Linked DNA regions of Sus scrofa. The main gene of each other region encodes a partner of the protein of the gene in region 2 in a complex. Links are inferred from orthologs where the notes say so. Each region holds a gene or a part of one and is shown on either strand. Other genes may lie near its edges. The genes, in order: TCF25 and NEMF.

What was found.
Region 1: NEMF (region 2) and TCF25 share a complex: the UniProt entries of both Homo sapiens proteins name them as parts of the ribosome quality control complex. The link is inferred for Sus scrofa from reciprocal best matches to the Homo sapiens genes NEMF and TCF25.

Annotation. Positions count from the first base shown.
Region 1 is NC_010448.4:205,968-210,295, reverse strand, and holds the start of TCF25 (transcription factor 25), read left to right. Parts: upstream 1-1,456; 5' UTR 1,457-1,590; coding exon 1,591-1,782; intron 1,783-4,328. UniProt on the Homo sapiens protein: Component of the ribosome quality control complex (RQC), a ribosome-associated complex that mediates ubiquitination and extraction of incompletely synthesized nascent chains for proteasomal degradation.
Region 2 is NC_010443.5:179,636,701-179,640,512, forward strand, and holds part of NEMF (nuclear export mediator factor NEMF), read right to left. Parts: intron 3,771-3,812; coding exon 3,658-3,770; intron 1,871-3,657; coding exon 1,813-1,870; intron 1,365-1,812; coding exon 1,306-1,364; intron 1,212-1,305; coding exon 1,091-1,211; intron 1-1,090. UniProt on the Homo sapiens protein: Key component of the ribosome quality control complex (RQC), a ribosome-associated complex that mediates the extraction of incompletely synthesized nascent chains from stalled ribosomes as well as their ubiquitin-mediated proteasomal degradation.

The DNA.
Region 1 (4,328 bases), on a different chromosome or scaffold from region 2:
CACTGCGCCACGACGGGAACTCCTATTTATTTTTTTTATAACAAATTTTATTTATTTATTTTTCCACGATACAGCATGGGGACCAAGTTACACATATATGTATACATGCTTTTTCCGTCCATTGTTGTGCTGCGCCCTCCCCTAATTTAGATCATGAGAGACAGAGGCCACTTACCCTGCAAGTGTTTACAACCAAACTTCCCTTGCTGAGGACCAGGCCTTGGAAAGTACAGGGAGAGACAGTGTTCAGAGCTGCCTGTTCGGGTAAGGTACTGCTCGAAGCCTCATGGCCACCGACCCACAGGAGCCAGGCAGGAGCAGTTCTGCGTGGGATGGCCGGCCCACGTTCCCAGCACAGGCGAGGCAACATGCCTGCATAAGCTGTTCGCTCCGGGGGCCAGCGATGACACAAGATCTAGTGGACATGGCTGGCCCTGCATGCTCGGAATTCTCTGGAGGGCAGTGCCCCGGAGGTCCTGTCTGAGCTGAGCCCAACTCTCAGTAGCTGGGTTGGAGGGTGGGGCAGGGGGTTGAGGCAGCAGCCTGTGCCAGTCAGTGCGATCCCAGGGCCTAGTACTTGCAGGTAACCCAACCCGCCTTGCTTCTCGGTCTCCGTCGGCAGACTTCCTCATCTGAACTCCGGAGCCACAGACACAAATGCAGATCCAGATTCTACCTGAGCCAGTTCCTTATTCTCTTAAGTCTTTATCTGTAAAAGGGGCAGGGTGGGGAGTGATATCTACCTTCCAGGAGGAGGTAAGAACTCAGTCTAGGGCCTGGCTTGGGCGCCACACTGAGTCAACCCCAGCTCAGTGCCAATTACCCACGCCAAACCACCTTAGCCTGGCACTTGCACCTCTGCAGTGCAGGGCTTCTCAAATCTGCCTGCGCATTCTACTCTCCTGAAGATAAAGAGAAAATCAATGCCAGGCCCCACCTCGGAATTTCTAGGGATTGGGCCCCTGATCATCACCGTTAGGACACACCGTAAGCGTGGCAAGCCTCCACCTCAGACCAAGGATCCCCACACCCAGTATACAGGAGAATCACCTGGGACGCAAGCAAAAAGCAGACTCCCAGGGCAGACCCGGGGTCTCCCGGGGAGGGGGTGACCCGATCCGCTGCTTGGGAAGCTCCTGCGTTTCGGAGGGCCGACTTCTCACAAGCACAGCATCGTCTGGCCGCCGGCCGTGGAGGCGACCTACCGGGACTGGGTCCCCCGGGCTTCCCGCTGCAGCCCGAGCCTCCCCACCTCGACAGCACCACCTCGCCGCCTAGAGCAGAGGCCTGAGGATCTGAGCCTGCGCGCCCCCGGTTCGCCCCGCCCGGTCCCGATGTGCGTCGCGGGCGCGCCTCCAGAACAGGAAACAGAGGCCGGCGGACCCGCCCATTCTCGCGAGAACTCGTCCGGAAGCGTACGCACCTTCTTTGATGATACCGACGACTGGGCGGGACTTCGGGAGAGCGGCACCGCGCAGACGCGACGCGCCAGCCTCGCGCCACCGCGCTGTAAGTGCGCAGGCGCGCCGGCCGCTCTCTTTTCTGCTCTTCCTTCTGCCGGTCTCCAGACGTCAGCGGCTGTTGGGTCCTATGTCGCGCCGGGCCCTCCGGAGGCTGAGGGGGGAACAGCGCGGCCAGGAGCCCCTTGGGCCCGGCGCCCTGCAGTTTGTCCTCCATGATGACGATGATGCAGAAGAAGAATGCCCACAGCAGGGGCCAGGTGGCCGGCGTGCCCGGGGCACAGGGAAGGAGGGCGTCCGCGTCAACAACCGGTTCGAGCTGGTGAGCAGCAGGGCTACCGGGGCTGGGGGCAGCGGGTGGGGGCGGCCTGCGAGGTGGCGGGTCCGTGACGTCACGGGGCGGGGCGGCGGGGTCGGAGCTGCAGTGGGGAGGGCGGGGCCAAGGGGGTGGGCGGTGGCCTGAGCCCACGGGGCGGTGCTACGTTGGGTTTGGGCTGCGGTGAGGGGCGGGGCCATAGCGTCCATGGGCGGGGTTAGTGGGTCCCCGCTGCGGCGGAGTGGGTGTGGCCGGCTCTGGGGGCGGGACCGCAGCGCGGTGGGCGGGGTCTCGGGGCTCCAACCTGGATTTCAGGGTTAAGTGCCTCCGAAGCCGAGTCATCGCAGGGCCTTCACGAACGTTCTCATCTTTTCCACACACCCCAGGGCTCATTGTCTGGCTCTGGGTCATCTCTGCGTCCCCCCCGGCAGGTGTCTGGCCCAGAGAAACGACACAGTAGATGGGAATTAAGTAACAACAACCGGGGTCTCCTTGTCGCCGGCCTCATTCTCTACTTTTGCACGTCTGTGCGGAGCGCCTGCTGCCCTGACCGCCCTGTGCAGCAGGGATGCCTGTTCCGCTGGCCTTATGTCCCCAGCACCTCGTGCCCACCCACGTAGGGACTCCACAGCTGTTGCTGCGTGTTTGAAGGCGTAGCAGTAGTTTTGAAGACCATAGAGCAACCAGCCATGCTTGTCAGCTCCTTCTTGGTCTGGCTACTGCTCCCAACTTTACCGAAAGTTGCCAAGTTACGGGCCCCTCCTGAGACAGTGGGGCGCGCGGGCTGCCAGTCTGGGCGTTGGGTGTAGAAATTGCTGCTCCTGTTCCTCTTGGGTAAGAGCCTGACCTTGTCGTTCTGGTGAAGGGGGGACTCCGTTGTTCTTCGGGTCCTCCTGACTCTTCGTTCGCCTCCTCGGAGCCTTCTTGCTTGCCCGTTTCTTGTCACCTCTTTCTTTTTAACTTTTGTATCATGGGAAGTTTCAGATATACACAGAGACGTACGGGTAACCCTCAGAGGTGCCCCTCAGCCTCCACAGTTGTTTTCCCAGCGCTTCCATCCCATCCTGCATCCTTAAGTTTTCTGTCGACTTTGGTTTTTTTTTTTTTTAATTAATTAATTTATTTATTTATTTTATTTATTTTTTTGCCCGTTCCGGGGCTGCTCCCACAGCATATGGAGGTTCCCAGGTTAGGGGTCCAGTCGGAGCTGTAGCCGCCGGCCTATACCACAGCCACGCAGGATCTGAGCCGCGTCTGCGACCTACACCACAGCTCACGGCAACACCGGATCCTTAACCTACTGAGCAAGGCCAGGGATTGAACCCGCAACCTCATGGTTCCTAGTCGGATTCATTAACCACTGCGCCATGACAGGAACTCCTTCTGTTGCTGTTCTGACCTCTGAAAGCACCGCCAGCTCCCTTCTTCCTTCCATCCCTCTGTGCACAGGGTGTGATGGGCTCGTGCTCCAGTCGGCTGTGTCCTGGACCTCCTGTCAGGGCTGTTTTCCCCTTATTCCAGATCCTCCAGGTTTTGTGTCAAATAGCCGTCACTGGAGGACATTTACGCGCGCAGGCTCTGCTGCTCTGTCTTGTTCGTCAGTCGGGCAGGTCATTGTCCCCATTGTACAAGCGCGACAGCAAGTGCCACCTGCAGTGACACCTGCTGCTCGATGGGAAGTGGTGCTCTTACCCACACCACGCTCCTTGTCTCCGAAGCAAAGTTCATGTTCCTGCTCAAGAAGCAAGGATGGTGAACGGACAGGGGCACAGAAGTCTGAGATAAATGAGTCAGAAGAACAGCCAGGTGCTTGGGTGTGAGGAAGAGGAGGGGTGGTCGTGGGGCTGCCGGAGACCAGTCAGCTCAGCGCGTCGCTCCTGCCTTCGGCTGCGGCCTCCGTGTCTCCAGCACAGGCCTCCTTCCCCATCGCCGACTCACACCCATCTCCTCGGTGCGTCTAAACTCGCACCGCCCTCTCCACCTCCTCCTCCTTCCCCGTCTGTGCAGGCGTCTCCACTCTTTCTGTCGCCACAGCCAGCAGCCCAGAGGGCACCCCACTCTTTCTCCCTCCCTCACACCCCACCTGCACACCCTTGTCAGGTCCTGGGTGGCTTCAGGCTGCGGTACCTGCAGTGTGACCGTTGCCGCTGGCGGGGTCGTGCTCACCAGTCCTGCTCATCCTCTCGTTCCTCTGCAACTGTCCGGACGCAGCGGCCGCGGGGACCCTGCGACGCGCACGTCTGCTCTCAGCCCTCCTCCCTCAGGACCCCCGGCGGTGTGGGGGCCAGGTTGGCCCACTCATCGCTCTCCAGTCTTGTTTGCTCTGCTCCAGCCACGCTGGGCACCCCCATGCTGTCCCCTCTCCCTGGACCAGCTCTGTTCGTGGTCGCTCCTGTCCTCGGGTCTCAGGCACCCTTCCTGCTGATTTGAAATGAGTCACACGCCCCCTCCCAGTTCGTCTGGTCCTTCTTCTCCCTCGTGTGCCCTGGCGCGCACCGTCAGATGACCTGCGTGCTCCCGGAGCTCGGGCGGCTCGCCTCCCACTTCTGGGG
Region 2 (3,812 bases):
ATAACTTCTGCAGTTTTTATTATAATTTGCACATGAGAACTGAAATGAGATAAAGCAAGTAAAGCAATGGTTCACACTTTTACAAAAGGAACATTATCTAGGAGTGATAATACGGTCTAGTTACCTCATCTATATAATAAGATGCCACCAACCATCTGACAAGGATGGTTGTGAGAATTCAATAAAAAGTAACATAAATAGGGAGTTCCCATTGTGGTACAGCAGAAGCAAATCCAACTCATAAGCATGAGGATGCAGGTTCTATCCCTGGCCTTGTTCAGGGGGTTAAGGATCCAGTGTGGCCATCTGCTACGGTGTAGGTTAGACATGGCTCAGGTCCCACACTGCTGTTGCATAAGCCGGCAGCTACAGCTCCAATTCGACCCTTAGACTAGGAACTTACATGTGCCACAGGTGTGGCCCTAAAAGGCAAAAATAAATAAATAAATAAATACACACACACACACACACACACACACACACACACACATACATGTATATACACATGTATATATGTTAGGAACATGGTGAAAATTAGAAAAAAAAAAGCATGTACAATAGTAGCTGTAAGTGAAAAAAATGAAATATTATCCCTAAAAAGGAATGACCCTAGGAGATGTAAAAACAATTTTTAGAGGGCATGCATTCCCTAGTTCCTCTAGGGAGGTAGATTAATTTATTCTAGCAACCATAGATGGTCTCTACTTGAAGCAAATATACTATTGAATCAAGCTAAATTTTCGTGAGAAATTGTACTTGTTATAGACTCATCTTTGTAACACTTATGGATCCTAAACCAAAATGTGCTCATTCACACATTCCCAAGTCTCTGGGTATCTCTGTTAAACACATTAATGTATTATCCATTTAATACTGAAGTTTCACAATATCAGCATGTATTCAAGTATTAGTTACAGATCCAATTGACACTTTATAATTCACTAGGATAACATTTCTAAATCAAAAATTCAATAAAGCTGATGGCAAGTTGATTTTTTAAAAATTTAATTACCCCAAAAGAGATAAATTTAGAAGCAAAACTAGACAAAAGAAAACACTATAAGTTACTTCATTAAAATCTGTAAGCTACCTAGTTGTTCCATTTCTTCAGATATGAGTTCACTTGTGCAACCCAGCAAGGTGTCCATGTCTTCATCCTGCACTCTGACTTTTCGTTCACCCCGATGTCTCCAAACACAAGACTCATCTACCTATGAAAATAGGTATTTTCATTGGTGGAACTTTAGGTAAGACTAATGAAAATCAGAAAAAAAAAAAACAAAAAACAAAGAAACGGAAGAGTACCTTAAAAAGGAAGCTAAACCCCATCATTAGATATGAAGGAGGAAGGAAATTCTTTTTTCCTACAAAAGAGAACATACATAAATGTTTTAAAAATCTATTTTTTCCATTATGCTTGTAAAATATCTGGTACAATGTGACATTTATTCTCTTTTCTCTGTCATGAAAGAACATTTCCCATATACAGAAGTTGGCATTATGTATAAGAATAGGAATTAAGAAGAAATATGAATGCTTGCTCTCATCTTCTAGGTTAGTCAGACCCTAAATAACCTGTTTTAGAAAAAAAGATCATGCTATACTTTCTTACCTATAAATTTAAACTATGTGAAAACACACTGTCATTAATAAAAATATATGGGGAGATGACATGTCAAATGCTAAATCTGCCACACCAAGACAAAATGTTCCATATTTAATAACACATTTCACATATGAAATCAAAATAATCAGTTTCTCTTCTGAGATGATCCTCACACCTGTCTCCATAATCTAGTGGCCAGTCATTACCTCTTATCATGAAGCTTCCTGTTGTCAAATATTCTCCAGTAGGTGCTGTTTTAGACACCTGAGGAACACAATAATACATTATACTCTTAAATACAGTTTTTAAATTTTCATTTAAGAAAGTAAAGTCATACTGAAGTAAAGAGCACTATGTCCTGAAAGGTTTATAATTTAGCAAAAATTATTGACACTGAAGGGATAGATCTCTCCTCAATGGCAGATATCTTTGGAAGTAACAAAGAAAAGAAGGATACACTAGTCAATCATTTTCAAATGCCATGGACTACAGCCACAACTGATCCACATTTCGTTTAGTGAAAGACATAATAAGAAAAATAAGGATAGTTTAGGAAGTTTAACATTAAGATATAAAACTATATTTACAGAGTTCCCGTCGTGGCGCAGTAGTTAACGAATCCGACTAGGAACCATGAGGTTGCAGGTTCAATCCCTGCCCTTGCTCAGTGGGTTATCGATCCGGCGTTGCCATGAGCTGTGGTGTAGGTCGCAGACGCAGCTCAGATCCTGCGTTGCTGTGGCTCTGGCGTAGGCTGGCAGCTACAGCTCCGATTTGATCCCTAGCCTGGGAACCTCCATATGCTGCGGGAGTGGCCCAAGAAATGGCAAAAAGATAAAACCAAAAAAAAAAAAAACAAAAAAAAAAAACAAAAAAACCCCTATATTTACTATATTTATTAAAATCCTTTTAATTTGGCAATATAGGAAGTGAGCAATGTAGTTCCACAAATTAAAAAAATGTTATACATCTGTGAAACACCCAAATCTGAGAATATCCTTACCAGTAATAGTTATATGATGGATTAAAAGTACACTAAAGGAGTTTCCATTGTGGCTCAGTGGTAACGAACCCGACTGGTATCCATGAGGACTCACTCGGGTTCGATCGCTGACCCTGTTCAGTGGGTTAAAGATCCAGCATTGCTCTGAGCTGTGGGGGAGGGTGAAGATGCAGCTCAGATCCTGTGTTGCTGTGGCTGTGGTGTAGGCCAGCAACTGCAGCTCCAGTTCAACCCCTAGTCTGGGTACTTCCATATGCCACAGGTTCAGCTCTAAAAAAGACCAAAAAAAAAAAGTACACTAAAAAAACTTATTCATAGAAGAATTAAAGCCACTTTTATAATAGTACTGGGGCAGAAAATATAATCCCAGAAGTGGTATTTATTTCCTAAGAACAAAATATCACAGCAAAACAGAAAATAATAAACACATATAAAACAAAACAATCTAAGAGAGGATAATGGTATCGAATTCTTTTTATCTTGCTGTATAGCTTTTAAGACCTTTTAAAAGTATATTATCAATTATAATTCTTGAAAATGTGAAATGAATAGCAATGTGAAGTCACATATGGAATGAAATATCATCAAAAAAAGATTAATGGACAATTACTAAAACAAAGTATATAGAAAAGCCCACTGGATATACCTACTTTATAGGAAGGGCCAACGAGAATTCAGAAAATTCTAACAGAGAGGAACAGGAGAAAGACCTTTTAGGTCAGTATGACAGTTGTAACTGGAACAGTTTATCCCATATAACTGCATGGATCACTCTCTCCATTTAGGTCTCTGCTCAAATCTTACCTTCTCAGGAAGGTCTTTCTTGACACTATATTCAAATGGTAGCCCCTATTCACTCCTCTATCCCCTTACTCTGCTTAAAAAAAACTTTATAGCACTTGTTACCAGCCATTATGTATGTATTTTTCTTCACCACCAAACTGTCAACTCCATCAAAGTGCTTTGTCTGCCTTGTTCAATTCTATATCCTCAAAATCTGGAATACAGTCTCTCTTAAATTAAGAAAAAGGACCACAGCCCTTATTACCTGATGATGGTACACCCACCAAGCACTAGTGATAACTCGTGCATCCCAAGCAGCACTGTAGCAAAGTGCCATTGTGCCAGCTTCAGTCAAGGTCCGAGGGGGAATCGGTTCTCCTGTAATAACAATACCTCAACACTTCAGTACCAAAGCACAGA